Struthio camelus: one gene and its partners. The main gene of each other region encodes a partner of the protein of the gene in region 4 in a complex. Links are inferred from orthologs where the notes say so. Each region holds a gene or a part of one and is shown on either strand. Other genes may lie near its edges. The genes, in order: SNRNP40, SNRNP200, LSM5 and PRPF31.

Region 1 (7,628 bases), on a different chromosome or scaffold from region 4:
CTCAGTAGATTTACCTACTCAAGGGAAACATTGTTTGGATCCAGGTCTTTTCCTGTTCCTTGGTTAACGACCTTCATGGAGAGGGAAAGTTTCAGTTTGTCATCTTTCATCTGAAAGAGAAAGGCATAGAGCAAGAAGAGGAAGCAACAGCGATGTTAACTAATACAAATCTAACAGGCTGCCGATAGAGAAGGAATGAAATTGTCAGCACAGAAAGGAACTACTAAAGCAAGGCTACTACGTGAAAATGATTTTGTTCTATTAAAATGTAAATACAGCCAAAATGCAGTTATTCTAGTTAACATGAGTATGTTAAGCAGCTACCTCAGAAATAAAACAAGATCAAACTACAGATCCATTCAGATTAACATTCTGCATTTAACATGAGCGAACCAAAGCGCTGTAGAAGAAAGGGTATGTTTAGGAACTTTGCTATAATTCTCAATAATTAATCAGTAATCCACCCACAAGGGAGTTTCTGCTGGACCTTCAGCAGATTTGCACCCTGAAAAATAAGACTCTATACCTGCTCTCACATTTCTATCTTCTTATGAGGTTAAAAACTTTCTAAGTATCTGTATTAGGGGCTTATTCTTTTCTGAATCCTAATAAGCCCTTGATTGCCACATTATCCCTTTAGAAGCAAGAGCAAAGGTCGTAACTTTTAAAAGTCTTTTTACAACCTTCTATAAGTACACACCAAAAGGTTCTAAATCTGTTTATCTTCCACAAATGGAAGGCATTGCTTTGTATGTCAACCCTATTGTTATCGTTCAAAAAATCTGAAAGATGTAAACCAATTATGACAAAAACCTCTCATCTCTAGAAGGCAGCAAGTTTCAAAATACATGTATTTGCCAAAAGAATTATAAAAAACCACACACACAAAAAAACACCTTCCCACCTTTCTTTCCTAAAAAATATAGTCCACTTTCACTGTTTCAATGGCTCACCAAAGTAAGAGTCTTTGTTCCAAGGAATCTTTAAATATAGAAGATAGGCCTAGCATCACTTCTTTTGTGCACCAAAAAAGCAATATAATAAAGGGTAGAAAATAAGACACACCCCTCCAAAAAAAAAAAAAAAAATCTGTGTTTTCCCTTGGGCAAAATTCACTGTCAACTATCTTTCCTTGAAAACAAAAAACACTCAGCTTCTTCTAATAACAGACCTGTCTCTCACAACTGTTAAAAGACTGTGCTTATATTGGCTCTCATCTTGGAATCCTCTCAAATTGCTCATTTGGCCACCAATCACACAGTTATGGGGGTGCAAGCTGCAAACAGGTAGAGAGGAAAAGAAAGGAAAGCGCTTTGCTGCTTTTAAGTTTTGATTGCATTGCAGCAAGTCACAGAAGGTCAGCTTCCAATGTCTCACCTGACAGTGAGCAGAAATCAACTGTTTATCAGATATATCATGTTTTGTTTAACAAAGCGACCAGAACACCCTGCTTCTGCATATCAAAAAGTTCTTAGTTTACTCTTTTTGTAATATAATTTATTTATACAGTGTTAAAGAAACAAGAATTAACATTACCTCTTTTCCAATAAGTTTCACCCACACTTTGTCTCCAACATCTACTATCTCTGAGGGCTTATCCACACGGCAGGATGACATGTGAGTCTTATGAACAAGGCCTGGTCATATTTTTGTAAAAAAAAAAAAAGGGAGGAAAAAAAAAAAAAGTCTCTACTGACTGTTAGTTTTGTCCTCTAGGAGTCAGAGGGCACCTATTAAGAGGTTTCCCTACGCAAAACTAAGCATCTAGTTTCCCAAACACATTACGCAGATGAGAATCAGTTAGTTTAATCAATCAAGTTTGTTTGCAAACATATAAAAGCTCATCAATATTTGCTCCAAATTTACTCCATGCTGTTAGGAAGCATGAGTGACACACAGCAAGACAATAGGCGTCAAAAGAGATAGAGGAAGCGATGAGAAAAGCACTGCTCTCCCCAAAGGTGTAGAGCTGCATATGCCCCCTTCTGACCACCATCACCACAGAAACAATCCTCAAGTTTTTGTATGAAACAAATGCAATCAAAACTAAGGGATCTGATCAACCAACAGGGAGACAGTATTCTCATAGCCTCCAGGCTGGATTCATCAGTCCAAGTTTTCATGTGTGTCCAGACACCTCCGGGGCTGGATGATTTAGCACTATGTGCAATGAGCTGGCGCCTCATTGATAACTGAGACATTACCGATAACTGAGACACTAACTCCAGAAAAAGAAAACGGACCTTCCGTATTTAAGATCTTAATTTACAGCTTGTCAGAGAAGCAGGCCCCAAAGCAGCGTCTTTGTACTCAAAATACCAGGCGTCCACATGGAAAAAAAGAAAAAAAAAACTTTTTATTTTAAGCAGGCATTAACGCCTCTCTATTCCTGTCCGTCCTCTGAAACCAACGTAAGCACTAGAGAACAAAGAACATTTCATGCATCAGCAGCACAATACTTTGCTGGCAATGTCAAAACCATTAAATACCCAGGCTGACCTGATTTTCTGTTGTGCTTGCAAGGTCATACAGCCAGATTTTTTTTTTTTTTTAAAACTTACACAAATAATAAATGTGGGCTACAGGATTATACATGGAAGGATAAGTATGGAAACACACCTTCATGTCTAGGCTTATATTTCAGGACATGTTTGCATCTCAAAGAGACATCCTTCCACTAGTCACACTTCCATGCAAAAATTTTTATTAGAGCTGGCGCTAAAGTAAGTGTGCAATTCAAGATGAGAGTGAAGAAGTGGTTATTCGTATGCATACAAACAATTGACAGAACATCCAGCTTAAATTGCTTCTTTTGTGTGACTAGTTTATTTTACTCTGCAGTTTTCCCACAACTGTAAACAAAACTAAGTCAGCTTTTCCGGTCTATTTTTTATTTGAAGTCCACTTCAGTCATCTTTATTTGACTTGCAAACTGGTCATGAAAGAAATAAGTTGTCAAGCTAAATTTCTTGTGGAATTTTCTATAGTTTGTCCACCACCTGAAAACGATTCTCTAAGATGCGGTGAAGTTACCAAAAAAAAAAAAACCCACTTCCTCTGAAATCCTCTGAGCCTTTTCTGTATAACTGCATATGTAGCACTACCTTAAGTAATTTGTGAGAACCTGTTTTTTCTTTTTTTTAAGTTCAACACTTTTTCTGAGCTAGCAGATAAATCAGATAGAGAAAAAGAAGGAGAAATTCTAGTATTCTCCTAAAAATTGCCAAATCTTTTATTCTGGGGATGATTGCAGAGCCTAACAAGTCAACATGAAAATAAGCCTAAACAAATAAGAGAAACAAACCTTGTTTCCTGCAGCCTGGGATTTTTATAAATGCCCCATATTCTGTTACAGTAGCAACCTGTGAAGAAAATCAATACAATATCTAAACAAAAGAGACTTGGTAAAAATCCTGTTTTGAAACCACCAGTTAAAACATGCACAAAAAAGGCTAAATGGTTCTCATATCTTAGTTCAGTTTTAGACTTCAAGGCTGGGGAGAGACAACACTCCTCGATAACTCTAGAACAAGCGTGGCCAGCCAACTACTCCTCTGTTAATAATACATATGCATATATGTGTGTGTGTGTGTGTGTGTGTGTGTGAACACACACATATACGTATACTTACATAAACGAGCAACGTAGCTGACAGTTACCCAAACCACCGCTGAACTAACCAGTCATTTAAACTAAAGCAAACAACCCGCACTTCACGACACCTCGCAGTATCGTGGCCGCAGCCCCACTGCACACCTCTCCTTGGAAGATAGCGTAGAGCTCAGGCAGCGCCTCCATCATCTCAGACCTCACAGGACGTGCTCGGGAGCGTCTCTGGGAGCAACCGACAACGTTCCTCCAAAACCTTCTGGGCGACTCCAGTTGAACTCATTGCACGTCACTGCGCTGCGGAGGAACCACGCTCGTAACCGGAGTTCAGAGAGATGCCTTGGAAAAATATATTTAATCAGCACTTGAGAACACCTCCTGCAACCAGCTCAGTGACATTCGACTAATATGACAAATTCTTTGGTTCATTTTGATTTAGGCTATGATGCGACACTAGCTCCTCGAGCTGGGTGACACCAGCTGCGGCCGCCTTCGGGCCGCTCTCCCAGGCGGCACCGGGCCCAGCCGGGCCTGATCCGGACGGAGGGTGGGGAAGCCCAACCTCGCCGCAATGCTCCGAGACTTCCCCTGCCAGCGCGACACCAGCCCCGCCGAGGCTGAGACCGAGCGAGCGCCCGACCCGTCGCCGCCACCGTTACTTACCCCCACCAGGCGCCACCGCCATTTTGCCCCCTCCCGCTTCCCCCCTCGCTCTGAGGCAAAGCGGCGCTCCACCAACCGTCGCGCGCGGTGATCGCAGGTGACAGCCGGTGAGCCAATCGTCTTTACCTATATTGCCTCTCTCCCTCCATCCCGCCTCCTCCGGCGCCAGCGGCCAATCCGCGCGCAGAGCGCCCGGCCAGGCCGCCTCTGCTCTCCTTTCGCCACCCGCGCGCCGGAAGTGAGGTACGAAGCGAGCCGAGCCGGGAGCTCTCCGCCAATCAGCGCGGGAAGACTTGGCGGGGCCGCCCAATGGGGGCGAGGGGGCGGGACGGGCGGGCGCGCGGCGGCGGCGATGATCGAGCAGCACAAGCGGAAGGTCCCGGGCGGCGGCCCCGGCCCGGGCCCCGGCCCCGGCCCGGCTCCGGGCGCCGCCCCCGGCCCCGACCTCCCGCTCGTGCCCACGGCGGCCAAGCGGCCCCGCCACGACCTCCCGGGAGCGCCGGGCGGCGGCGGCGGCGGCGGGGGGCAGCAGCAGCCGCCGCCGGGGGCCCTGCTGCAGGCGGTACGGGCGGGCTGAGGGGAAATGGTGGAGGGGCCGGGGCCCGGAGGGGAAATGGCGGAGGGGGAAGGCGCTGGCCGTGCCCCGGGGGGGTGCCCCGTCCCGCCGCCACGGGGCCGCGGTGCTTCGCCCCTCAGCCGACTCACTCGTTGCCTCCCCGCAGGGCCCGCCGCGATCCTCCTCCCTGCAGGCCCCCATCATGCTGCTGTCGGGGCACGAAGGCGAGGTGTACTGTTGCAAGTTCCACCCCAACGGCAACACGCTCGCCTCTGCCGGCTTCGACAGGCTCATCCGTGAGTACCAGCGGTGCTGGCGGCGCCGGGCTCCGCTGCCCCAGCGAGCGCGGAGCCGGGCCGGGGCTCGCCTGGCTTCGGGCAGCCGCCCCGTGCCTCTTCCCTTAGACTACCGTTAGTTTCATTTCAAAAATCTGCTTGCTGAGTCCATGTAAAGCGCGTCGGCGCTTTGCCAGGCGGTGAACAGGAAACGTCAGGCTCCTCGGACAGGTTGCTGTCCAAGTAGTGTGGCTTTTTCCTTGGCTAGGGTCAGTAATGTGCCTTGCTTGTCCTAATTCTGTATTCGCTCATCCCTTGCGTAGGTTACTATGCATTTGTGTCTGCACCAATCTTTGGAAATACATTTTTTAAGGCTTTTGGCTTGCTAGAATGGGTTGGAGTGGCTACCTGTTTTTCATAATAAATTCACCTGTATCTGAAATCGTAAATCACCTTAAAAGAGCTGTGTGCTTTCTGGGGCTCACCTAGCCCACTTGGTACTCTTTTATTGCTATATGTCCTAGATGTGAAGAGATGTTGGCTACTGTAGGTGGTTCGTTTTAATGAATTTCGGGAGAATCAAGCTATCCACAGCGAGTGCGTGTTTACATCGTTCATTTACTAATCTCTCTCTTTCTGTCCTTTAGTGCTGTGGAACGTCTATGGGGACTGTGATAATTATGCCACCCTGAAGGGACACAGTGGAGCGGTTATGGAGTTGCACTATAACACAGATGGCAGGTAAATGTCGTGAGGTCGGTTTTCTGCCTCACTTCTTGCTCTTTCTGAACAAAGTCTACAGACAGTTTTGGGAGAGTGGCAGCATCTGTCATGCACCTCAGCCACACTCATTTAGGTGGCTCGTGAGGGGCGCTTGGCAGTTTTCAGGGCAACGTATTTGCTGCTGGCCAGCCAGACTCCTTTAGAGCTCCTCCTGTTCATTGCAGCTGCTTAGTTGACCTTCATTAATGGTACTGAAGAGGAGCACTTGTACTGTGGCTTTCCCAGGAAGGGAGTGTGCCTGCTTGAGATTAAGCAAAAGATATGGAGCTACTTGTGACCTAGGAGTGCCCTTGATTTCAATCTTGAGGAACACGTGAAAGTCTGAGCTGGTCTTGAGCGAGATGCTGGTTGGTTGGGGAGTGAAAGAAAACAAGTGAGATATTTCTTAATTTGGAAGATTGTTCCGCTGTTACATCTTAACCAGGAGTGCTACAAAGAATTCTTTCTCCTGTGTTCTCATCCTAGATAGTGTTTGAGCAGGTGGAAAACCAATACGTACTGATCAAAAAATGGGTTTAGATGGGAGCATCTCCACTGTACTTGTTCCACGGTCATTCAGTCTGCGCTGACCAGAATTGTCTTTGCACCAGCCTTTGCATATTGGGCGTAGTTCTTCTCAATGACATGTTTGTGTTTAACGTTTCGAGCTTTGCTCTCGGTACTTGGGAGTAACAAAAGTAGAATGGGAGAAATGCCTCTGAAATGGAGAACTTCACAGCTGTTCTTCTCCGCAGCATGCTCTTCTCAGCATCCACAGACAAAACAGTGGCGGTGTGGGATAGTGAGACGGGAGAGAGAGTAAAGAGACTGAAGGGCCATACGTCATTCGTTAACTCCTGTTACCCAGCAAGGCGTGGACCCCAACTTGTCTGTACGGGTAGTGATGATGGGACAGTGAAGGTCAGTGCGTTGTATAAGGAGATAGTCCTTTTTTGTTTTTACTGGTTCAGTGAGTTAAATTCAGCCTTTCTTTACTGTCTCATAATTTCATTATCTAACAACTTCAATAAAACTTGATACTTCTTTTCCTTCCACGATTCTTTGAGTATGGGTTCAGGAGATGCAGTTGGGATACCATATTGGAGCAGCCTAAACAAACCATTGTCTCATTAAAGGAGGACTGTCTTCTTTCTGTGTAACAGTGTGCTTGTTTGTGATGCATTGTAATCGATATAGATTTAATGCAAAATAAATCAAGTTTTACTGCAGTGTAGAACAGCATAAACAAAACATGAGGAAGGCAAACAGGTACTGAAATCTTTTACTCCAGCTCCTTCTTGCCCCGTCCCCTATTTTCAGAAATCGAAAAGTCCTGTGTTCCTGACCATAGCATGTCTCTGCTATTATTTTTGTAGCTAACTCTTGAGATCTAAAAAAGTGAGTTTCAGTAGAGCAGTCAGAGACCCGGCAACGTGTCTGCAACTTTCTATGATTTTATTGTTAAATGCCTCTCTGTAACTTTTAAAATTGCCATATCTTTTCAGCTGTGGGATATCAGGAAAAAAGCTGCTGTCCAAACATTTCAGAACACTTACCAAGTCTTGGCTGTGACTTTCAATGACACCAGTGATCAAATCATATCGGGGGGCATTGACAATGATATTAAGGTATGATGATTTCTATCTTGTGCATCTGTTCTGACTTTACACACCTTTTCCGTCCCATCAGATTTTGATTGTAGCGAAATGCAAGATATAGCAATGGTCGAGGGAAAACGTGGAAGCCTGTTGGTTAACTTTACA
Region 2 (7,429 bases), on a different chromosome or scaffold from region 4:
GGCTCCCTTGCTCCCCACGCCAGGTCCAGCCCAAACCAGCACGGTGGAGGGTATCCTGGGGAACAGCAGCTCCGGCGCGGCACCCGTTTTCCGAGCAGCGAGCACCCACCTCCTGGTCGGGGTCCTCTGGCTCGTTCTGGCACCCGGCGAGCACCAGGCGCTGCAGGGTGGCGGGCCGGACCAGCGCCAGGAGGTGGCACAGCGCCTGCAGCTGGTGGGGAGAGTGGGCGTCAGGGGCGCAGGCTGACGCCCGCCCAGCCGGGCTGCCTTGTCTCCCCGCGCGCCCGCAGAGGCACCGCTCACAGGGTACCGGAGCCCGTAACGGATGCCATTCTGAAAACGAGGGAGCGCCCAGGCTGCGCCCACCTCTGCTTGCGCCCGGCCGGGCAGCACCGTGCCCAGCGGCTCCCCCAGCAGCCGGGCCATGATGCAGAGGCTCAGGTGTCGGCGAAGCTCCCTGCGGAGAAGGCAAGAGCGTGAGAAGGGTGTTGGGGCTGGCGTGGCACGGGGAGAGGTGCCAGCTCGCGCCCACGCACCCCGCCACGTGCCCGGCCCTGCACAACCCACGCCCGTGTGCCAGGCTGGATCGTCTGTGCAGCGCCTGGCATGGCACAGTCCCGGCGCACTCCAGGTGCCCGGGGCGAGGGGCGGCGGTGCCCCGAGCGGAGCCGGCAGCCGGGTCCTGCCCGCTTTGTGCGCGTGCAGCCGGTTGGAATAAAGGAATTAGAGCGAGACGCATCCGAGCCTGGCCCTGGCACGGCGCCCGCAGGGCCGTGCCAGGCTCCTGCATGGCAAAACGGAGCTCGACTCCCCGTCACCGCGGCGCGGGGGGCACGAGATGCTCGGTGCGATGCCAGCAACTGCTTCAGCATCCCGGGGGGTGGGATGCAGGTAGTGCCAATGCGCGGGCACGTACCTGCCCCTGCTCGTGATGTCCGGGAGCAGGCGCACGACGGCAACCAGGTTATGGTGGTGCTGCGAGACCTGGCACAGGGACAGGCACAGATTTGGCAGCTGGGGAGAGAAGGAGGTGCTGAGCGACGAGCAGGGCGGGCACGGGGCTGCACCCGGGCGGCAGAGCCCTCGAGGGGACGGGGCGCGGGGGCGCCAGGCTCAGCCCGACCGCTGAGCACGCCCAACTTGTTGCGTTGGTGATGTGCAGCAGGGTTTGCTCCCCTTGCCTCGGGTACCTGCTCCTGCCAGTCCCCAATGCCCTCCAGCAGGCAGTGCAGGAGGTGCTGCAGGTCGGGCAGGGGCTGGCACCGCAGCGCCCGGTCGAGGCTGAGGAAGCAGAGCAGGGTGAGGAGCGCCAGGCGGGCACGGTCGGGGTAGCGGCCTGGCTGGGCGACCACACACAGCGCCAGGAGCTGGCAGGGGAAGGCAGCGTGTGAGCCGGGCGCCAAGGATCCCGAACACACCCCTGAACCACCCCCGTGCCCGCATCGTTGCTGGGGCAGGGATGGACTGGCGGCAGCCGCAGCGGGCACCCCTCCAGCAGCTGGCATCAGCGCTGCTCCGGGCCTGACTCTCATTAGCAGCAGCCCCATTAGCTGGGCGGAGATAACGAGGGCGGTCAGCCAGGACGGAGGCGCCCGGGTGCTGCCACACGAGCCCCTCCGGGTGGATGCAGCCACCTCCCTGTGCCAGGCTGCCCGCGCCAGCGGGCGCTAGGTCCCACCGCGGGGCGGGCACGGGCGCCGCGCTGCCACCTTGCAGATGTCGCTGAGCTGCGTCGCCAGCGCCAGGGCGCTGGTCGCCTCGGGGTCTGCCTGCCCCGGGCATCGGGGAGGGTCCGGGGGCCTGCAGGGAGAGGAGCGGGGTCAGCGCGGGGGGCACCCGAGCGGACCCAGGCGTCCCGATTCTCCCGCGCCGATCCCGGGCTCACCTCCTGTCCGCGGGGCACAGCTCGAGGGGCAGCAGGCCCTGGCGGTGCAGGGCGCCAAGGTCGGCGCCCAGGCGGCAGAAAACCTGGCTGATCTCCGGCACCGTGGGGCACCAGGGCTCCCCTGCGGGCGAGGGGGGCCGGTGAGAGCGGGGTAGGGGGCGCCCCGGGTGAAGGCAGCCCCGTGCCCACCCCGCGCTCACCCACGGTGCTCAGCCGGTGCACGTTGATGTCCCACAGCACCTGGAAAGCGTTGGCCGTATCCGGGCACAGGGCCATCAGCTGCCAAAGCAAAGAGGGCGTCACCGGCTGTGGCGCCGCCCGGGCACGGCTGGGACAACGGGGATCCTCCCACCGCGGGGGCCCGGCTTACCTGGAAGAGCCAGCGCAGGACGGGCAGCGGGCACGCGGGCACGCAGCGGTACAGCAGGCTGAGGTGGCCCTCACGGACGAAGGCGGCTTGGCAGGCAGGCGAGGCGCTACGGAGGGTGACACGGGTGCGTGTGCCCGACCACGGACACAGGCGGACGCGCAGCCCGGCGCGGGCACCCGCGTGCAAACATAACAAATACCCGCCCCCAACCAAATACACGAACACCCGCCCTCGCCCGCAGGCAGGACCGCGCGCGTGCCGGCAGGGCTGCCGTCGCGCCCAGACGCCGGCTGACGTGTTCCCGCAGGGCGTCACCCAGCCCGGGGGACGGGCCACGGGCGCGCGGAGCCGCCGGGACCCCCGCCGCCGGGCTCTCACCGGAGGAAGAGCGCTTCCAGGTCGCTCTGAGGCTGCAGCCCGCCAGCGTCGAGGGTGGGCGCGGGCAGCGGGCGGGCGTGGAAGACGGGCTCGCCGGGGTGCACGGCCGGGATGAGCGCCGGTTTGACGGCGAAGCGGGCCAGGAAGAGCCTGCGGGCCGGAGGGCAGAGCGGCCGCCGTGGTGCTGGGCGGGCGGGCGGCGGGTGCCCCGCGGCGGCCACCCGCCTGCCCGCGCCACTGCTACCTGTGCTCCTCGGGCAGCGGGGCGTCCTCGTCCGGGGACTCCTGCGGGCTGCCGTCGTCCTCGCATACCCACTCCGGGCTGCTGCGCGGCGCGGCCGCCTGGTCCTGCTCCCTGCCACGGGGGCGCTTAGGGCGCGACGGGGGCCGTCGGGCGCCCCTTAGCGTGACGCCCTGGGCCCGCCTCACCTCTTCTCCTTGACCAGCGAATCCAGGCTGTTGGCGAGCGGATCCGGCTGCGGGCACAGGGCAAGAAAGCGTTAACTCCCCAGCGGCTCCCGCGACACCCCAGGGGAAGGAGCCGGATGCCCGGCGGGCGCCAAGCAGGGACCTACCCGGCCGCGCCGCGGTGGGCTCCGGGCCTCGTCGCCCGCCAGCAGCAGGTCCCGCAACGGGATCAGGACGTCCTCGCCGTCCTCGGGGGACGCCCGCCCGCTGGCCTCGTCCGGCGGGCGCCCGCAAGCCGCCCGGCCTCGTGGCCGCCCCGGCGACCGTCCGCCTCCGGCGCGGCGGCGCCCGCCCTCGCCCCCGGGGCTGAGCCGGGAGCGACGCGACGCCGGGGCCGGCCCGGGCGACGCTCGTTTCGGCGAGGAGCTCCGGCCGGCCCCGGGGCCGGCGGCGCGTTGCCTGCTCGACGCGCCGCGCGTCTCTTTGGGCCGGCGGGGCGGCGGGGCGGCGGGGCGGCGCTCGGCCGCCGGCGGAGGGCGGCGGGGGTGCGGAGGGGGCCGGGCGCGCGGTCCTCGCCGGCCCCCCCCCGCCGCCGCCGGTGGTGGTGGCGGTGACCGCTCGCCTCGCGCCCTGCCGGCCTCACGCGGCCGGCGCAGGCCCGGGGGGCCGGGGGCGGCCTCCAGCAGGCCGGGGGGCGGCAGGGCGAAGGGGGGCCCCACGCGCAGCTGCTTGAGGGCCCGCAGCTGCTGGTAGCGCTGGAGGCTGGCCTGGAAGCGGGGGCTGAAGAGGCCGGTGCGGGGGGCCCGGGCCGACGACAGCGGGATCTGGTACCAGCGCAGCCCCGGCGGCGCCATGGCCGGGCCCTCGAGGGGGCGGCGGGGGGGGGGGGGTGCCCGCTGGGCTCTGGGGGTGGGGCTTAGCTGGGCGGGGTGCGAGGAAAGGGCGGGGCCTGGGCGAAAGGGGCGGGGCCGAGCGGGAGGAGGGCCAATGGGAGGCTGGTGGGTGGGGGGAGGGGGGGGTATGTGCGGCGCTGGCCCCTCCTACCCGCGGCGCTGCTTTCAAATGGCAACTGGCAACGGCCCCGCCCCTTCCTCCCCGCCTCCTTTCCCGTCTGAGCCAATCGGAGCTGGGGCAGGGCGGCGCGCCCCGCCCCCTCGCGTCTGGCCGAGCCAGCTCTTTGGTGGGGAGGAGCAAGGGAACGGTCTATCAACGGCAAAGCCCCGCCCCCCTGCCAATCAGCATGAGAGGCGGGGCTAGCCCCTCCGTGAGTGTCTCCTCCCCTCAGCAGACTCCCGCCTCGCATGCTGGGAGATGTAGTCCCCGAGGCAGCAGGGCATGCTGGGAGTTGTAGTCCCGAGGGGGCAACGCCGCCCCGCGGCACCAGCACTTCCGGGTCGCCTAGGGGCACCGGAGACTGCTTCCGCTTGCCCCGGAAGTTCCGCTGCCTGCTCCGGTGCGCGGCGGCGGCCAGCCCGGCGGCGCCATGGCGGATGTGACAGCGCGGAGCCTCCAGTACGAGTACAAAGCGGTGAGTGCGGCCCGGCGGGGCCTTGAACCTCCCCCGAGGCGCCGGGAGGGCTCCGGGTTCCCCCCGCGGCCCGGCCCGGTCGGGTCCCGGGCTCCCGCGGCCTCGGTGCTGCCGCAGCTCGGCGGGACGTCGCCGTGAAGGGGAGCCGGGCAGCCGCGGGGGTCTGCGGGCGGGCAGCGCCGCTGGCTGGAGCAGGACGCGGCCCCCAGGACGCCCTGCAGCCGTTTAGGCGCGCCTGGGCGCGGCCGCAGCAGCGCCCCTTCCCCCTGGGCCCCCTAAAAACCAGCCAGTTTGAGAACATTTCTTTGTAGCACCGCTGTTACAAGAGCGGTCAGGAGCTCGGCGTCCTTGGAAAACAGAAATGAGTGCGACGCCCGCTTTGAAGCTAATTTTAAAAGTGCTCCTGTCAGACTCTGAGGCTTTCTGCAGAATAAAAGCTCCGGTTCTGGTGTAGTTGTCAGATGCTGTAGCGTAACGAGCGAACCCTACGGGGACTTTCCCGACTGCCAGAAGTTACAGGGTGCCGTCACGTGACTCAGTCCAAGTTTAAAGTCTAAAACTGTGGCCTCTTCAAGCATGAATAATTTAATTCGGCATTATTTTTCCTGCATTGGGCAGGGGAAAGTTGGACATGCTGCATTAAAGGGGGTTTTATGTACTTAATAGAGCCTCTGGAGCAGGCAGAAGAGGCTTCTAGATTTGAGCGGGGGAGGTTGCTGCACTGAACCTGCTTTGGCCTAGGTCGCGGCTGGCGCTGGCTTCTTGGTCTCACCTGTCCGGATGCAGTGGACTGCGTGGATTGCGTTAATATTTTCACAGGCCCGATTAGTGCCTGTTTTTATTCTTTCTCTTCCAGAACTCCAACCTCGTCCTTCAAGCAGATCGCTCCCTCATCGACAGGACTCGGCGAGATGAGCCGACCGGAGAAGTGCTTTCCTTGGTTGGAAAGCTTGAGGGCACCCGAATGGGAGACAAGGCCCAGAGAACCAAACCGCAGATGCAGGAGGAAAGACGAGCAAAGTGAGTGATTGACTCCTGCCCTGAGCTTGCCGTTCGAAGCCGAAGGGACGCAGAGCCCTGAAAGAGAACCTCCTGGTTGTATTTGGATTAACAAAGCTCTAGGCAATTAATGTGCTAGACCCCGTCTTTTAAGTAATACAATCTCAACTTGTTTTAGTTCTGTGAATGTGGTATAATTCAATACAATTACGACCCCCATTCAGGTCGCTTTCCAGCTACTAAAAAGAGCATCTGTACTTCAAATCAATTGTTTTGTGTTTAAGTGAATGTGGTAGAATAAACCGAACTGTGAAACTTTTTCAGGTTCGAGAGTTCATGCTGCATAAAGCTCTCTTAATGGTATCTTATGTCAAAGAGAAACGACTCCTTGATTCCCGCTGCTTTGGCGTAGAGTGGGAGAAGCGGCTCTGCTTCCTGACTAACCCAGGTGCTGTCTTCCTTGCCCTTCTTTCTAGGCGAAGGAAGCGTGATGAAGACAGGCATGATATCAACAAGATGAAGGGTTATACCCTGCTGTCTGAGGGCATTGATGAGATGGTGGGGATCATCTACAAACCCAAAACCAAGGAGACCCGCGAGACCTATGAGGTGTTGCTAAGCTTCATTCAGGCAGCCCTTGGGGACCAGGTAAGGACGTGGACAGGTCAGCGAGGGTATCTCTGCTCCAGCAGAGGATTCAAAGCGTGCATGTAAAAGTGCGAGAGAGAAATCCGAGTCCTTCTTCGTTATCCCATGAGATGGATTCGCTCCCTTGATTCTGTGTTTTGTGCTTGTAGATATCACGTTAGTATATTCGTTACACTGATGCGGGGTGGCATATCTCTGTCGTGGGATGTGACCTTTCGATGGCACAATCTCTGCTCCCCCCGTGCCTACGTGAGGGTGCAGAGCTCGAAACGAGATGTTTTCTAAATCTGGTGAGCTATTTGTTCCAGGACTTGAGAACAGAAAGCTGAAAGGATTTGGTCCAGAAATAGGAGGGAGTGATACCGTACCGTTTGAATGACAGTCCTCTTCTTGGCAACACGTGGTCACGTTCTTTATTTTGCAGCCACGTGACATTCTCTGTGGAGCTGCTGATGAGGTCCTGGCAGTCCTGAAGAATGAGAAGCTGCGTGATAAGGAGAGGCGGAAGGAGATTGATTTGCTACTGGGCCAGACTGATGATACCCGCTACCACGTGCTGGTGAACCTGGGCAAGAAGATCACGGATTATGGTGGCGACAAGGAAATCCAGAACATGGGTATGGGCTGTGCTGTAGCGGGCTGCAGCTGTAGTAACGGGGCTGGCAGAAAGTAGTATTACGGTAATTGGTACCAAACCCAGCCTTACTCCAGGAATAGTGTTTTCACACAGAGGAGCTAGAAAATTTTGGACTCTTTTCAAGCCCGAAACCTGGTTCTTTTCAAAATTTGGATGTACGGAGGTGGGATGTGTGGATCTGCAGAGCTTGCATATGGTCTCCAGATTTTCAGATTAATTAACTTGGCTCTCCCTTGCAGATGACAATATTGATGAGACGTATGGTGTGAATGTACAGTTCGAGTCTGATGAGGAGGTAAGAGATGAGACGCTGCGGGGTCTCTGTGCTGTCCCCCCTTGCTTGTTGAGCTGCTCAGCAGGGACCACGTGTGCTTGGCTTTCCTCAGCCATGCTGGGGAAGCAGGCATTGGCTCAGGCTAGGATACCTCTGCCAGGAAGGAGAGGCCAGATTACTTTAGACACTGCTTCCTGGCTTTGGGAGGATTTGTTGATTATCTTGCTAATCTGAGGCTGATTGTGAGTGCATGTTACTGAAAACAGATGGTGATATTTAGATCTCTTGGAAGAACTTGAGGC
Region 3 (7,920 bases), on a different chromosome or scaffold from region 4:
GCTGCAAACGCATCCATACATAAGATAATGGATGTGATTTAGATGCATCCTGCCCTACATAGTTGTACAGCCAAGCACTCGTAAGTTAAAAGCCGCTGTATTAACCAGCCTCCAAAGAAGGTTCCAAAGCCAGAAGTGATTCCCTAACACACCTGAAGACCAGAAAAGGATTCACCAAAATGAAATTATGACCATCCCATTTTCACAGATGTTAAGCTGTAACACATGACAAGTATGACAATAAGATCGCTTCTCTAGCCTCAGTCATATACACATATGCCCCTAAAGCTACTCGAAGTAGCCTATGTAGCGGACCACTCAGCTTGGAGTAGCAAATCAAGCAATAATTGAATTCAACAACTGCAGACATAAGTGCATGCAATCTCTTTGCAATGACGACTTACCATTGTTATGTTATTTCCGTTTAGCAAAATCTGGTCTAGTTTTGTGATTCTTCTGCCCTCAGGTGTAATTTCACTGAAACGGCATCAGGAAAAGAAAAAAAAAAAGACTTAAGTAAAATAAGAACATACCACTATGGAAGATGATTATAGTTTTGATGATTGTACTGACACAAAGCTCTACATTAGAATGAAATTTATCAGAAGTAACAAATAAATTAGCTATCTCACAACATAATCTTGATACATTGGCCATCTGGGTCAAGAAATCTACGTGAAGACCAAAGAGATCCATTGTACTTTTCTCCTTAGCACATAAAGATGTGGATTTACCCTCTAAATCCTACCAAAATCTTGACTACCACTAATATTCAAAAAAGGCTGCAAATAGCAAGATAGCAAAACAAAGTAATGACTACTTATCCTTAAGTGTGCCAGGTTTCCAAATCTTTGCCTATGTGTTACAAGGCCTTAAAAGCAAACAAACTACTGGAGAGTTCAACCCAGAACCCATGCAAAATTGAGGCTGTAAATTAGGAGCTTCATTAAAAATATTTACTGAGATAAACCATGAAACGGGTGCTCTATGACATGGCTGTCCTCAATAGGTCATCATCTAGTTTAAGTCTAAGGTCTAAATTATTCAATCAACAAGTATTCCAAAAATATCACATTACTGTGCTGATACCATGTTTTTGTAACTTGGAAAATCAAAGTTTAAAAAGCCACAAAAGATAGAAATAATACTTACAATTCTGTAACATCTTCTAACACCATGTCTGAAAGTCTAGTTTCAAGGAAAATAAGGTAGAGAGACCTTAAGGTGCAGAGACTCTAAATTATTTTCCTTTTACGTGGAAGTGTGATTTCATCTATAAAATAAAATCAGAGTAACATATGAAACAATATAATAAATTTCTACTCAGTGGAATTCCAAACTCTTAAAAGTAATAGACAAATTAAGCAGAAACATGAAGTTTAGGCTTAAACCTTTCCATTAAAGGATACTGACAAAGTCATCAAATCCTAGAAGCGTTCCAACAATTTCTTTATCGCTCTTCATCACAATATGAATGCGTGAACCTATACATTTGTCCACAAGTTCTGCAAATTAGGAAAAAAAATTAAAAGCATTAAAAACACACTTCTAAACAAAAAGCCCAACATTATGATGGCAAAAAAAGTAATTGTCAAGGGCACCAGCAAAACAGAGAAAAATAAATCTTTTCCTTGCACAGTTTACTACTAATGCTACACAAAAAAACTCTCTAAGCATGTTTATACAGTACTATTACCTTACTTTGGTGAAGCCATATTACTACTGCTGTTAACTGCATGTTTAATTAGTACCTGAGAGCTAAGCACCAAAGTTAGATCTATCTTCAGCAGACCTTTGTGCTGCATCCCTATCGAAGATATGAATAATTTCTTTGTATGCTGTCTACTCTTAAAAGACTCGTTATTTTTCCCTCCAGAGACAGAAATTTAAAACCTCTCCTAATCAATATTTGCCAGAAGTCGAACAGTTTACCCATCCAGACATTGCTCCTGAGCGGCCCGAGTAGCGATATAACGCACTGGGATCCCACAATTTAACAAAAAGATGTAAGGCAGAAATTTTATGGACAAGTTACGACTGTTCTCCTCACCTTTCTTCCCTGACCACCTCCTCTCACAGCAGTGGAAAGCTTTTGTTAGGCTTTACCTCAATTTGGGGGGGTTACTTTGTTTTTTTTTCTCCGCCAAGAACGCTTGACGTTTGAGCTAGAACCATGCAGCCCCCTAGGCTGAAGCCGTGACGGGCGCGACTTCCTCCCCCACCCCGGACCCCTCACACGCCGAGGGCCGGGACCTCGCTTCCCTCCCACGCCGGCACAGCCAGGCCCCCACACTCCCGCAGAGACATGACACGACACCCCCCCCCCGCCCCACCCCAACGGCCGCTCTCGCGCACCCGCCGCGCGCCGCCCGTGACGTCAGCGCCCGCCGCCGCGCGTGACGCGCGCCCCGCCCCTCGCCTCCCAACCGCTCCGGGCCCCATTCAAACCTCCCGCCACGCGCGGTGCCCCTCGCGCCGCTAGGGGAGCCTGGGCACCGCCCTCTCTTCCCTGCTCTTTCCTTGAGGAAAGCCCCCCCCGCACCCCGCGCCGCCGACCGCAACAACCGGGAGAGAGCGGAGACACCGCAGCGGCAGCGCTGGTTACCGAGCGGCAGGAGCTGAGACGGGTTGGTAGTCGCGTTAGCCGCCATATTGGACCCAGGCCTAACCAGTCGCTCCTGCGGAAGTGAACGGTCCGCTGACGGCGAGGCACACTCTTGGGTCGGAGCGGCAGCCCCGCCTAGCCGATGTCCGAGCGCTCGTTCTTCCCGGGAGCTCCAGGCCGGGCAGCGGGGGGACATGGCCGCCCTGGCCACGCAGGAGGAGCCCGGAGTGTTTTTCCTCTTAGGCGGAGCTGGTACATCTTCCTCTCTAATCAGCAGGCAGGGGCTCGGTCGCTGTCTGTAGTGGATGCCGTGCTCCGGCTCCCTCGGCTGCGGTGGGGCTCCGTGCTGTGATCCGGCTGAGGAATTAAAGGGATTTAAATTATTTTTCGAGGTGGAAAAGCCGCTGCGCCGTCTGCACCCGCTTAGTAACGTAAGCCGTAATGCTACAGCAGGGAGCGGGCCCCGCTGTGTTTCAGGGTGAGCCTGGCTCTCTGCCCAAAGCTTCGTTGTTTCTAAGGGCTTTAAAAATCCTCCTGATTTCTCGAATCGCTTGAAATTTACTGTCCCTAACGGTTGTGCCGGCTTTTTTTTTTTTTAGTGCCTCGAACTGGAGACTGTTGTCAAGCTCTAGCTTTTTTTCTTTTGAAAAATTAAATATTTTACAGAATCGTGGTTTTCTGAAGGTTACCCACATTGCAGCACCGATCCTCCTTTGGCTAAATATTATCACGCCAAAGTAATTTCAACTACGTATTTTTCCCCTGGTGGGAGATCTACGTAGTCACTGAGGGCAGTCAAAAGAAAAAGGTAAAACAAAAGCCAAGCGATGTTGCACAAGTAGCAAAACTGTAGCTGCGTTGAAACTAGGCAGGTTTTTTGGCAATTTGATATGTTTCGTTGAATGTGAGCTATACCCGGTGCTCTAAATCAAATGACCGCAATTCAGTAGGATCATTTTGCATACATACTGATCCAAAACATGCCTTTAATGAAATTCTTGTGCACGTGAATTCATGATAGTGAAGACAGATGAACTTTCACTTTCAGAGGTTTTTTCCTCTTGCCTTACTGCCTTTTTCCAAATTTTGATCAAAATAATCACTTTGTTCTGCATGGGTTTTTTTGTTTGTTTATTTAACTAATGGCTATTTTCTGTATTTTAATGTTCATATCTAAGACTTTTATCTTTGTAAAATATCCTCCAGTTTCCTAATACTGTGAGACATTCATGAATTCTCTAGCCCATCATTACTTTCTTTGTCTTTTACCTTTCTTTTTTTTTTTTTACAGGAGAAGGTTCCAAGTGGGAGATCATAATCCCAAGCAGAGTCATAGTCATTACTACATAAAATTCAGTTTGGTTTTGCTAGTATTTGGTGTAAGAGCCTCAGAAGCAATACACTCCAAACAGGAACTGAGATTGTAACCAGCAAGAAATCAGTTACAAACCTCAAATCCATGCCAGGATTTCGTTTATGCTTTCTTATTAGCAGAAATCTCAGAATAATTATTTTTAGTCACATGCTCTTCTCTACAAATTCACAATTTCTTCCTTTAGGAAAATGGGCTATACTTAAAAAATTCAGTGAAACTACCAGCTACTACAAGCACTGCTCACCTCTGAGGCTACTTCTAGATGCATAAAACATACTTCTCTTGTAAAAGTTATCCATCTCAAGAAGTGTCACTACACATAATCAGCACTGATAACTTTGATAATTGTTACTAAATTCCAAATGAGTGACAAATTCTGTTTGCTGTGCTGATGTTATAATAGCTTGCGGTAGCTCAAATATTACTGCTGAGAGAAAAGAACTCCCTCTATGGCCAACTGAGTTTGTTCGAGTTTATTACTGATATTTGTTAGATATGCATTGAGAAAGTAAATTCCATTAGGAAAGTTCCCACTGAGACTTTCATAGCTGCTCTATCTCCCTTTCTATTCCATAACTACACACACACAGTGTTAGCTGTGAAAAAGACATAAAATATGTCAGTCAGTTCAATTTTCTAAAACAGGCTGATGTCATTCAGTCTAACATTTAACATTTTTATTTATTGCCTTAGTGGGAAAGAAAATTTCAAACAATGAAAAAAAATCTAATAACCTATTCAGAGAAGTAATAATCCACAGTTATCCAGCAGTCTCATTGTGATGCCCTTATAATGCAAAATCCATAGCACTGAGAGTACTGCCACACTGCCCTTTCTTCAATTAACTGAACATGAAATAAAAATACTCTCAGGCATCTCTTTTTTGGTATATCCTGTTACTGGAGGGGATAATGGCTCATATTTCACACATTGTTCTTTTTTGGAATTATATTGAGCATCATAAAAGTAAGGTACAGAAAAGACCTGATAAGGAATTGTTCTCTTGCCAGTGAAGGATTGTTCCCTGCAGTTTATCCTTTGTTCCCCAAAGTATATATTTTATGTAATGGAGCTTCTGTTGAAGTTGAAGAACAATATGTAATTATAGACTTTGGTGTTAGAATTGGAGCTCCTGGGTATTGTGGTAGCGATGAGATTTTCTTTGAGCATTTTTCTTCTATTTTTTTTTCCCAAATGAATCTCTTCTTCTAATTTCCACAAAGAGTCCTAATTATTAAGGGTACAGTCACTAGCAAATGCTGTTGACTTAAACAGGACTGAATCCTGAGAAAGGTTAATGAGGGAGCATGGTCTGAGCACAGCAAGATAAAAGATTTTAACTCTCTTATACTGAATTTGTTTGTGCTCTGGGACAGGGCTTTGAACTCTCTTCCTCAGGATATCCTAATATATGTTTAGTAGTGTAACAGCTCTAATGGAAGTGCATTAACTTGATTTTTCCAACTTGAACCCATTAATAGATGTGCCCCCAGTTAAGCAACCCCACGGCTGACTTCTCTCAAGTTCTGCAAACAGCACGGAGCCCTAATTTGTTTGAACAGCAACACTTGGAAAATGGAAGATCCATGCCAAAAAAAAAAAACAACCAAACTTCAGAAATAAGTTTATCTTTCGGTTTTATTTTCAGTCTTCCGCAAGCCACCTCACTTAACGTGGATATTAAAATCGGGTCAGAGTTTTGTGCTGCCATCAGTTAAGTAGTCAATAATTAAGATTTACTGAGAGAGAGAGAGAGAGAAACTCGCCACCGTTTTCGGGTGTACCCAGCCCCGGGGCCGAGCGGGCAGCGGCGCTCCCGGCGCGGGGCAAGCGGCGGCGGCGGGCGGAGCTGGGCGAGCACCGGGCAGAAGAAGGCCGGGCGGGGCGAGACGGGAGGCTCCGCCCTCCGCCGGGCCGGCGCTGCGGAAGGAAGCGGGTGGCTGGGGCGGCTCCGCCGGGCTCCTGGGCGGCGGGAGGCGGAGCGAGCGCCCGGGCTCGGCGGCGGCGGCGGCGGCGGCGGGGCGGTGGGCAGCGGCCTTCGGCATGGAGAAGCCAGGCGCCTCCCCGCCGGCCGGCCCTCAGCGGGGGCCGGTGCTGCACATCGTGGTGGTGGGCTTCCACCACAAGAAGGGCTGCCAGGTGAGGGGCGCCGCCTTCTCCCGCGTCTCCCCACACCCTCCCCCTGCCCCCCCCGGCGTGGGGGGGGGTCGTTTCCTAGGCCGTAGGGTCGGCGAGGCTGGGAGCTCGTTGGGGCCCAACGGTACTAACGGCGTACGGGGCCCGGAGGTGCGGGGGGGCCCGCCGAAGCCGTGACTCAGTTCGCCTCGCGCGGCAGAGGGCGGTTAACGTGCGGTCAGGCGCGCGCGCGACACGCCCGAAGCGCTCCCGCCCGAGGGTGAGTGCGATGCGGGCGGGCGAGGCTGCGCCAGGCTCGGCACTGCGGGTCCCTGGCGACGGGTGTCGTGTCCAGCCCCCCTCCCCCCGCCGGCGTTTGACATAAGCCCTGGTGATCACTGCAGGCCTAGAGGCAGAGGGGGATCTCCAAGAAGGTCAAAACAAAAAATATTTTTGCGATTTTTTTTTTTTTTTTTGAGGTGAATCTGCTAGCGATGGAGGAGCAGCGACCCGGAGCGCTGCGGGCGCTTGCTGACAGGCCGGACAGCACATGCTGCTGGGCAGGGCAGGCAGCTGGGGCCGGCGCCCTGCTCCCTGGCGAGCTGTGCTCGCCTCCTGCCCTGCCTGCGCTTGGCGGGCCCCTTCCTGTGCTGGGGAGCTGGGCAGGCCTCAGGGGCGCCCCGTGGGAGCCTTGGTGTCAGGAGAGCATGGGGCCTCCGTGCCTTCACGGTGCTCTGCCTCTCCTGCACGGGGTGAATCCCTGAGGTAAGAATCGGGTGGCCCACAAGAAAGCAGAGAGCCAGCTCTCTGCCCCTGCGCCCGGACTCCTGGAGTGCTATTGACTCCCTGTCCAAAAGGATTAGTGTGTTTTAGCCTCTCTTTTCTTCCCCCCCCCTCTTTTTTTCTATAATTTTCCATTTTAAGAGCTTTGTTATAACGAGAGATTTTTTTTAAGCTTGTTTTATGTCAGTAGGACTTGTATTTGAGCCAATAAAATAATGGCTATTCAAACAATGTTTTGCTTAATGTTGCAGTATTAAAATAAAACTAGTATTTAAGCTTCTAGAGTTGTTCCACATTTTGTGATTGGGCAGTCTCTAGAAGAACTGAGGTTGAATAAATACTGACCTCTGCTAGGAAAGACAGTGAGTTCTGTGTTCAGAAATACACATAAGTTTTAAATGATCAAATGATGAATAACTGTTTGTATGAGTTTGCTGTGTTGTTGGTGCATTTGTTTTGTTTTTAAATATGGTTATGTTGTAAGAAAATTTTGAACACTTGGACTTGCCGTTCCTAAAGGGAAAAATAACCTCTGTAGTCTGCAGATTTTGTTACCCAACTAGTCACCAAACATAGTTGCTTTGTTATTATCAGAGTAGTTGGATATGCAGATGGAAATGACTTGCTGTGAGTTTGCATGAGTCGCAGTATTTCTGGTAAGCAAATGGTGTATGAAATGCCAGTCAGGGTAGCTGCAATGACCAAAAATGATTTTTTTTTTTTGGTTTTTAAATCTTGAGCTCCTAATTTACATCAGTGAATGCTTAACACAAACAGTGTTTGTTATATTTGTTCTTTTCCCCGCTATTCCTTTCCCCTTTTTTCTTTTCTCTCATTAGCTAATCTTTAAAGATTGTATTTTACTGTTTCAATGTGGGTAGCTGTGGGTAACACTCTTCTTCTTTCCCTGCTCCATATCTGGAAGGGTGGATCAAGCTGTCTGTGCTTTTTTTAAATGATCCAATATGTTTCAGAACTGAATGGGCTGGTAACCCATAGCACTGTCTTACCAGCGTCCTTCATCATTCCTAGAAGAAGCCCT
Region 4 (7,253 bases):
ACTCGTCCCCGTAGGAGTCCAGCACCTTCATGAGGAACCTGCCGGGGGAACAGGGAACGGGGTGCGATGACGGTGTCGTGCGGGCGGCTGTTGTCACCGCGCGCAGGCTGACGGCACCGCGCGGACACTGCGCGCGGCTGTCAGTGCCGCCTGCGGGACGTCACGCGTGATGTCAGGGCCGTGCACGGTGACGGTAGCCCGTGCAGCATCGGCGCGCGGTGTTGGGGGCTGGGTGGTATCGGTACCACGCAGCGTCAGCGCGCCGCGTCGGTGCACGGTGTTGGTGCCGCGCACGGTGTTGGTGCAGCACCGTGCGCGGCATCAGTGCGTGGTACCGTATGCAGTGTCGGTGTGTGGTGGCGCGTGCAGTGTTGGTGCGTGGTAGCGTATGCGGTGTCAGTGTCACCACACGGTGTCAGTGCGGTCTTGGTGCACGGTGCCGTACTCAGTGTCGGTACGTGGTGTCAGTGTGCAGTGCACGGCGCTGTACGAGGTGCTGGCGCGCGGTGCCCGGCGCTGTACGCAGTGTCAGTGCAGTGTTGGTGCGGTGTTGGCACGTGGTGCCCGGTGTTGTACGCGGTGTTGGCGCGGAGCCCGGCGCGGTGCCCAGCGGTGTACGCGGTGTTGGCATGGTGTTGGCACATGGTGTCGGCGCGCGGTGCTTGGTGCTGTACGCGGTGTCGGCGTGGTGTCGGCGCGTGGTGCCCAGCGCTGTACGTGGTGTCGGCGCGCGGTGCCCGGCGCTGTACGTGGTTTCGGCGCGGTGTCGGCACGCAGTGTCGGTGCGCGGTGCCCAGCGCTGTATGCAGTGTCAGTGCAGTGTTGGTGCGGTGTTGGCACGTGGTGCCCGGTGTTGTACGCGGTGTTGGCGCGGAGCCCGGCGCGGTGCCCAGCGGTGTACGCGGTGTTGGCATGGTGTTGGCACATGGTGTCGGCGCGCGGTGCTTGGTGCTGTACGCGGTGTTGGCGTGGTGTCGGCGCGTGGTGCCCAGCGCTGTACGTGGTGTCGGCGCGCGGTGCCCGGCGCTGTACGTGGTTTCGGCGCGGTGTCGGCACGCAGTGTCGGTGCGCGGTGCCCAGCGCTGTATGCAGTGTCAGTGCAGTGTTGGTGCGGTGTTGGCACGTGGTGCCCGGTGTTGTACGCGGTGTTGGCGCGGAGCCCGGCGCGGTGCCCAGCGGTGTACGCGGTGTTGGCATGGTGTTGGCACATGGTGTCGGCGCGCGGTGCTTGGTGCTGTACGCGGTGTCGGCGTGGTGTCGGCGCGTGGTGCCCAGCGCTGTACGTGGTGTCGGCGCGCGGTGCCCGGCGCTGTACGTGGTTTCGGCGCGGTGTCGGCACGCAGTGTCGGTGCGCGGTGCCCAGCGCTGTATGCAGTGTCGACGCAGTGTCGGCGCGCGGTGCCTGGTGCTGTACGCGGTGTTGGCGCGGTGTCGGCACGCGGTGCCCGGCGCTGTACGCAGTGTTGGCGCGCGGTGCCCGGTGCTGTACACGGTGTCAGCGTGGTGTCGGCGCGCGGTGCCCGGCGCGCGGTGCCCGGCGCTGTACGCGGTGTTGGCGCGCGGTGCCCGGCGCTGTACGCGGTGTCGGCGCGGTGTCGGTGCGCGGTGCCCGGCGCTGTACGCGGTGTTGGCGCGCGGTGCCCGGCGCTGTACGCGGTGTCGGCGCGGTGTCGGTGCGCGGTGCCCGGCGCTGTAGGCGGTGTCGCCGGCCCCGTACCTCCGCTCCTGCTGGAGGCGCCGCGTGATCTTCTGCACCTGCTGCAGCCGGTTGAGGATCCTCTCGTTCACCTGGGGGGGGGGAAGGGGGCGGGTCAGCCCCTGCCGGGGGCGTGGCCAGGATGGGGACAGTGGGCGGAGCTAGCTGTGTGGGCGGGGCGATGCAGGGAGGGGCAGAGCTGGGGAGCAGCAGGACGAGCTGCCTGAAGTGGGCGTGGCCAACCCAGGGGGCGTGACCAGGGCGGGGCTGTGGGAGGGGCTAGGCGTGTGGGTGGGGCTAGTTGAGGGGGCAGGGCTGTGCTTGCAGTGGGAGGGGCTGCCCACAGAGGGGGCGGGGCCACATCCTGGGAAAGGGCGGGGCTACTTGGGGGCTACTTGAAAGCCAAGAGGCCACTCCCCCGTGTGGTGGGCGGGGCCAGATAAAAAAGGCGGGGTTTGTTCCGGAGTGGGTGGGGCTTGGGCGCGGGGGCGGGGCCTGCCCGGAGTGGGCGGGGCCTGTGTGATGAGAACAAGGGGAAAGCAAAGGCGCTTCTCAAATAGGAACAGCCCCAAAGGCAAAGTGTGTGGGTGGGTGGGCTAAGGGGTGGCGGTGGCCATGTTGGGGGCGTGGCTTATCGTGGGCGGGGCCTGCGGGGCGGGGCCTGACCTGCTCGATCTCGCGGCAGCGGCGGCCCAGGGCCTGGAGCTTGCGGCGGGCCAGCTCGCGGTGGCGCCGGCGGCTCTCCTCGCGCTCGCGCTCGTGCTCGGGCCGCGCGTCGCCGCTCAGGCCGCCGTCCACGAACTCCACCTCCGTCTCCAGCTCGCTCTCCAGGATGTTGCCCCCGAAGAGGGGCGGCAGCGCCAGCTCCGAGCCCGGCGGCGCCGAGAACTCCTCGAAGCCCACCCCCGCCATGGCGCTGCGGGGTCGGGGGGTGGGGGGGGGCCTGCTGTGACGCTGCTGCCCCCCCCCCCCCGCTGGGGTCCTCTGGGCCCCGTTACACCTCCCCCCCTACCAGCACCCCTCAGCCCCCAGGGGTCTTTCTGTTCCTCCTCACTGCCCGCCCCCCCCCCCGATCCCTCTCTCCTCCGCCCCGGACCCCCTCGGTTCCCCCCTTCCTCCCTGTCCCCCCCCGGTGCTCCCTTCACCCCCAGTGCCCCCCCCAGTACCTCCCTTCACCCCCAGTGACCCCCTCGAGGCCCCAGTGCCCCCCTGCCCCCCCCTCGGTTCCCCCCTTCCTCCCCGTGCCCCTCCGGTGCTCCCTTCACCCCCAGTGACCCCCCCCTCGGTTCCCCCCTTCCTCCCCGTCCCCCCCCCGGTGCTCCCTTCACCCCCCAGTGCCCCCCCCCAGTACCTCCCTTCACCCCCAGTGACCCCCCTCGAGGCCCCAGTGCCCCCCCTGCCCCCCCTCGGTTCCCCCCTTCCTCCCCGTCCCCCCTCCGGTGCTCCCTTCACCCCCAGTGACCCCCCCGAGGCCCCAGTGCCCCCCTGCCCCCCCCAGTTCCCCCCTTCCTCCCCGTGCCCCTCCGGTGCTCCCTTCACCCCCAGTGACCCCCCCGAGGCCCCAGTGCCCCCCTGCCCCCCCCCCAGTTCCCCCCTTCCTCCCCGTGCCCCTCCGGTGCCCCCTTCACCCCCAGTGCCCCCCCCAGTACCTCCCTTCACCCCCAGTGACCCCCCCGAGGCCCCAGTGCCCCCCTGCCCCCCCTCGGTTCCCCCCTTCCTCCCCGTCCCCCTCCGGTGCCCCCTTCACCCCAGTGCCCCCCCGAGGCCCCAGTGCCCCCCTGCCCCCCCCTCGGTTCCCCCCTTCCTCCCCGTGCCCCTCCGGTGCCCCCTTCACCCCAGTGACCCCCCCGAGGCCCCAGTGCCCCCTGCCCCCCCCTCGGTTCCCCCTTCCTCCCCCTCCCCCTCCGGTGCCTCCTTCACCCCCAGTGACCCCCCAGTACCTCCCTTTACCCCCAGTGACCCCCCCTGAGGTCCCTGTGCCCCCCTGCCCCCCGGTGTCCCCCCCCCGGTATCCCCCAGTGCCTCTCTGACCCCCCAGTTCCCCCCCGATGCCCCTCTGCTGCTGCCCCCCCCAGTGCCCCCTTCACCCCCGGTTCCCCCCCCGGTCCCCTTCTGCCCCCCGGTGCTCCCCCCGGTCCCCTTCTGCCCCCCCGGTGCCCCCTTCACCCCCGGTGCCCCCCCGGTCCCCTTCTGCCCCCCCCGGTGCCCCCTTCACCCCCGGTTCCCCCCCCGGTCCCCTTCTGCCCCCCCGGTGCCCCCTTCACCCCCGGTTCCCCCCCCGGTCCCCTTCTGCCCCCCCGGTGCCCCCTTCACCCCCGGTTCCCCCCCCGGTGCCCCCCTCCCCCCCGGCTCCCCCCCGGCCCCGCCCCCTACCCGGCGATGACGTCACCCGTCGCCGCCGCGGTCCCGCCGCCGCCGCCTCGGTTTGGGGGGGGGGGAGGTGTGTGCGGAGGGAGGCGGCGCGCGGTGATGACGCAGTCCCGGCGGGAGGGGGGGGCGCGCGGCGATGATGACGGAGCGAGGGCGGCTGGGGAGGGCGGGAAGTGACGTCGGAGGGAGCGCGCCCGGCCGGAAGTGAGGTCGTCAGGCGGCGACGCGGCGCGGGGAGGCGGCGGCGGCCTGAGCCATGTCGCTGGCGGACGAGCTGCTGGCCGACCTGGAGGAGGCGGCCGAGGAGGAGGAGGAGAACTTCGCCGACGAGGAGGACGAGCCGGCCATCGAGGATGTGCAGGAGGAGACGCAGCTCGACCTGGCCGTGGACTCGGTCAAGAGCATCGCCAAGCTGTGGGACAGCCGCATGGTGAGGGGGGTCCCGGGGGGAGCGGGGGGAGGAGGAGGGGGGGGTCCCACGAGGAGGAGGAGGAGGAGGAGGAGGAGGGGGGGGTCCCGCGAGGAGGAGGAGGAGGGGGAGGAGGAGAGGGGGGGTCCCGCGAGGAGGAGGAGGAGGAGGAGGAGAGGGGGGGTCCCGCGAGGAGGAGGAGGAGGAGGAGAGGGGGGGTCCCGCGAGGAGGAGGAGGAGGAGGGGGGGGTCCCGCGAGGAGGAGGAGGAGGAGGAGGAGGAGAGGGGGGGTCCCGCGAGGAGGAGGAGGAGGGGGAGGAGGAGAGGGGGGGTCCCGCGAGGAGGAGGAGGAGGGGGAGGAGGAGAGGGGGGGTCCCGCGAGGAGGAGGAGGAGGAGGAGGAGAGGGGGGGTCCCGCGAGGAGGAGGAGGAGGAGGAGGAGAGGGGGGGTCCCGCGAGGAGGAGGAGGAGGAGGAGAGGGGGGGTCCCGCGAGGAGGAGGAGGAGGAGGAGAGGGGGGGTCCCGCGAGGAGGAGGAGGAGGAGGGGGGGGGGGGTCCCGCGAGGAGGAGGAGGAGGGGGGGATCCTGTGAGGAGGAGGAGGAGAGGGGGGGTCCCGCGAGGAGGAGGAGGGGGGGGTCCCGCGAGGAGGAGGGGGGGGGGTCCCGCGAGGAGGAGGAGGAGGAGGAGGGGGGGGTCCCGCGAGGAGGAGGAACAGGAAGAACAGAGAAGGGGATTCTGGGAGAAGGAAGAGAAGGGAGGGGTCTCGGGAAGAAGAGAAGGAGCAGTCCTGGGAGGATGGAGGAAGGGATGTGGGGAGCCAAGGAAGAAGTTGGGGGGGGTCCTGGGAAGATTCAGGGGACCTGAAGAGGAGAAGGAGCTGCTGGGAGGAGGAGAAGAGGAGGAAGGGGAGGGCAGGGGGCCCGGGAGGACGTGAGGGGGGCGCCGCGGTCGGGGCGCTCTGCCCTGCGCCGGGGCTCGCGGCCGCCGGCTCCGCCGCGACGCAGCGCCCTGCGGCCCCGCAGTTCGCGGAGATCATGCAGAAGATCGAGGAGTACATCAGCAAGCAGCCGAAAGCCGCGGAAGGTGCCGGCCCCTCCCCACCCCGCTCCCAGCCCCACGGCAGAGCCCTCTGCCCCGCCCTGGGGGGGCCACGCTGCCCCACGCGGGGGCGCTCTGCCCCGGCGTCCCCCTCCCCGTGCTTGTCCCCGGCTCGGCCCTGAGCTCGGCCGCTCTCCCGGCAGTGCTGGGGCCGGTGGAGGCGGCTCCGGAGTACAGGGTCATCGTGGACGCCAACAACCTCACCGTGGAGATCGAGAACGAGCTCAGTGAGTGCTGGGAGGGGGCTGGCGGCCGGGGGGGCGACGCTGGGGACGTCCCGGCGTCCCCAGAGGGCTGAACGGGGGCAGGAGGCTCCTCTCTCCTCCTCCCTGCGGCGCTGACTCGTGCGGGGGGGCTCCGTCCCCCGCCCCGCCTCCCTCCAGACATCATCCACAAGTTCATCCGGGACAAATACTCGAAGCGCTTCCCTGAGCTGGAGTCTCTCGTCCCCAACGCCTTGGATTACATCCGCACCGTCAAGGTAGCGGGGCTGGGGGACGCCTGGGGCCTCTGCCGGCTCCGGAGAGGGGCAGCGGGGAGCCGGGACGCCGGCGGGGGCCCGTCTCAGCCCTCTGCCCCCGCCCCGTCTGCCCCCAGGAGCTGGGGAACAGCCTGGACAAGTGCAAGAACAACGAGAACGTGCAGCAGATCCTGACCAACGCCACCATCATGGTGGTGAGCGTCACGGCCTCCACCACCCAGGGGTGAGTCGGTGCTGCTGGCGGCTGCGAGCCGACCGCCGTCGGGGGCCGGGGCGCCCGGACGCCGGGGCTCCCTCGTCGCCGCTCCGCCCGCAGGCAGCAGCTCACGGACGAGGAGCTGGAGCGCATCGAGGAAGCCTGCGACATGGCGCTGGAGCTGAACCAGTCCAAGCACCGCATCTACGAGTACGTGGAGTCCCGCATGTCCTTCATCGCCCCCAACCTCTCCATCATCGTCGGGGCCTCCACCGCCGCCAAGATCATGGGTGAGCCCTGGCGCCTGCCCCCAGCGCCCGGCGCGAGCCCCTCCTGGGGCCGGGGGCTGCTCCCTGATGCCCCCCGCCTCCCCCCAGGCATCGCCGGGGGCCTCACCAACCTCTCCAAGATGCCGGCCTGCAACATCATGCTGCTGGGGGCGCAGCGCAAGACGCTCTCGGGCTTCTCCAGCACCTCGGTGCTGCCCCACACCGGCTACATCTACCACAGCGACATCGTGCAGTCCCTGCCCCCGGTATGGCGTCCCCGGCGCCCCCCCCCTTTCCTGCCCCCCTCCCCAGCCCCGCACTGACGCCCCGTTTCCCCCAGGATCTGCGGAGGAAGGCGGCGCGGCTGGTCTCGGCCAAGTGCACCCTGGCAGCTCGGGTGGACAGCTTCCACGAGAGCCAGGACGGGAAGGTGAGGGGGGGGGGTTCGGGGCGCGAGGGGGGGATTCGGGGAGGACGCCCGGACACCTGGGCTCTCTGCGCCGTCTCGTTTCCTTTCCGCAGGTCGGCTACGACCTGAAGGAGGAGATCGAGCGCAAGTTCGACAAGTGGCAGGAGCCGCCCCCCGTGAAGCAGGTGAAGCCGCTGCCGGCGCCGCTCGACGGGCAGAGGAAGAAGCGGGGGGGCCGCAGGTGAGCGTGGGGGGGTCTCCCTGGGGCATCCGGCCTCCTCGGGAACGTCCCGCCCGCGAGCCGCGCTCCGCTCCGCTCCATCCC

Evidence for each region.
Region 1: PRPF31 (region 4) and SNRNP40 share a complex: the UniProt entries of both Homo sapiens proteins name them as parts of the U4/U6-U5 tri-snRNP complex. The link is inferred for Struthio camelus from reciprocal best matches to the Homo sapiens genes PRPF31 and SNRNP40.
Region 2: PRPF31 (region 4) and SNRNP200 share a complex: the UniProt entries of both Homo sapiens proteins name them as parts of the U4/U6-U5 tri-snRNP complex. The link is inferred for Struthio camelus from reciprocal best matches to the Homo sapiens genes PRPF31 and SNRNP200.
Region 3: PRPF31 (region 4) and LSM5 share a complex: the UniProt entries of both Homo sapiens proteins name them as parts of the U4/U6-U5 tri-snRNP complex. The link is inferred for Struthio camelus from reciprocal best matches to the Homo sapiens genes PRPF31 and LSM5.

The regions. Positions count from the first base shown.
Region 1 is NC_090964.1:4,646,886-4,654,513, forward strand, and holds the start of SNRNP40 (U5 small nuclear ribonucleoprotein 40 kDa protein), read left to right. Parts: upstream 1-4,615; 5' UTR 4,616-4,624; coding exon 4,625-4,834; intron 4,835-4,994; coding exon 4,995-5,124; intron 5,125-5,750; coding exon 5,751-5,844; intron 5,845-6,620; coding exon 6,621-6,786; intron 6,787-7,370; coding exon 7,371-7,493; intron 7,494-7,628. Other genes in the region: ZCCHC17 (zinc finger CCHC domain-containing protein 17), read right to left, coding at 19-110, 1,537-1,637, 3,305-3,362, 3,757-3,801. UniProt on the Homo sapiens protein: Required for pre-mRNA splicing as component of the activated spliceosome. Component of the U5 small nuclear ribonucleoprotein (snRNP) complex and the U4/U6-U5 tri-snRNP complex, building blocks of the spliceosome.
Region 2 is NC_090968.1:1,325,947-1,333,375, forward strand, and holds the start of SNRNP200 (U5 small nuclear ribonucleoprotein 200 kDa helicase), read left to right. Parts: upstream 1-4,420; 5' UTR 4,421-4,524; coding exon 4,525-4,569; intron 4,570-5,425; coding exon 5,426-5,589; intron 5,590-6,044; coding exon 6,045-6,216; intron 6,217-6,640; coding exon 6,641-6,833; intron 6,834-7,092; coding exon 7,093-7,148; intron 7,149-7,429. Other genes in the region: protein FAM178B, read right to left, coding at 110-211, 367-457, 917-1,014, 1,191-1,367, 1,710-1,800, 1,886-2,006, 2,086-2,164, 2,256-2,361 and 4 more. UniProt on the Homo sapiens protein: Catalyzes the ATP-dependent unwinding of U4/U6 RNA duplices, an essential step in the assembly of a catalytically active spliceosome. Plays a role in pre-mRNA splicing as a core component of precatalytic, catalytic and postcatalytic spliceosomal complexes.
Region 3 is NC_090943.1:55,214,248-55,222,167, forward strand, and holds the start of LSM5 (U6 snRNA-associated Sm-like protein LSm5), read right to left. Parts: upstream 3,007-7,920; 5' UTR 2,802-3,006; coding exon 2,606-2,801; intron 1,506-2,605; coding exon 1,410-1,505; intron 1,181-1,409; coding exon 1,153-1,180; intron 478-1,152; coding exon 405-477; intron 1-404. Other genes in the region: late secretory pathway protein AVL9 homolog, read left to right, coding at 6,024-6,119. UniProt on the Homo sapiens protein: Plays a role in pre-mRNA splicing as component of the U4/U6-U5 tri-snRNP complex that is involved in spliceosome assembly, and as component of the precatalytic spliceosome (spliceosome B complex).
Region 4 is NW_027182594.1:29,845-37,097, reverse strand, and holds the start of PRPF31 (U4/U6 small nuclear ribonucleoprotein Prp31), read left to right. Parts: upstream 1-4,252; 5' UTR 4,253-4,322; coding exon 4,323-4,496; intron 4,497-5,497; coding exon 5,498-5,558; intron 5,559-5,716; coding exon 5,717-5,800; intron 5,801-5,956; coding exon 5,957-6,054; intron 6,055-6,170; coding exon 6,171-6,277; intron 6,278-6,370; coding exon 6,371-6,540; intron 6,541-6,627; coding exon 6,628-6,785; intron 6,786-6,859; coding exon 6,860-6,949; intron 6,950-7,041; coding exon 7,042-7,169; intron 7,170-7,253. Other genes in the region: TFPT (TCF3 fusion partner), read right to left, coding at 1-38, 1,718-1,788, 2,363-2,608. UniProt on the Homo sapiens protein: Involved in pre-mRNA splicing as component of the spliceosome. Required for the assembly of the U4/U5/U6 tri-snRNP complex, one of the building blocks of the spliceosome.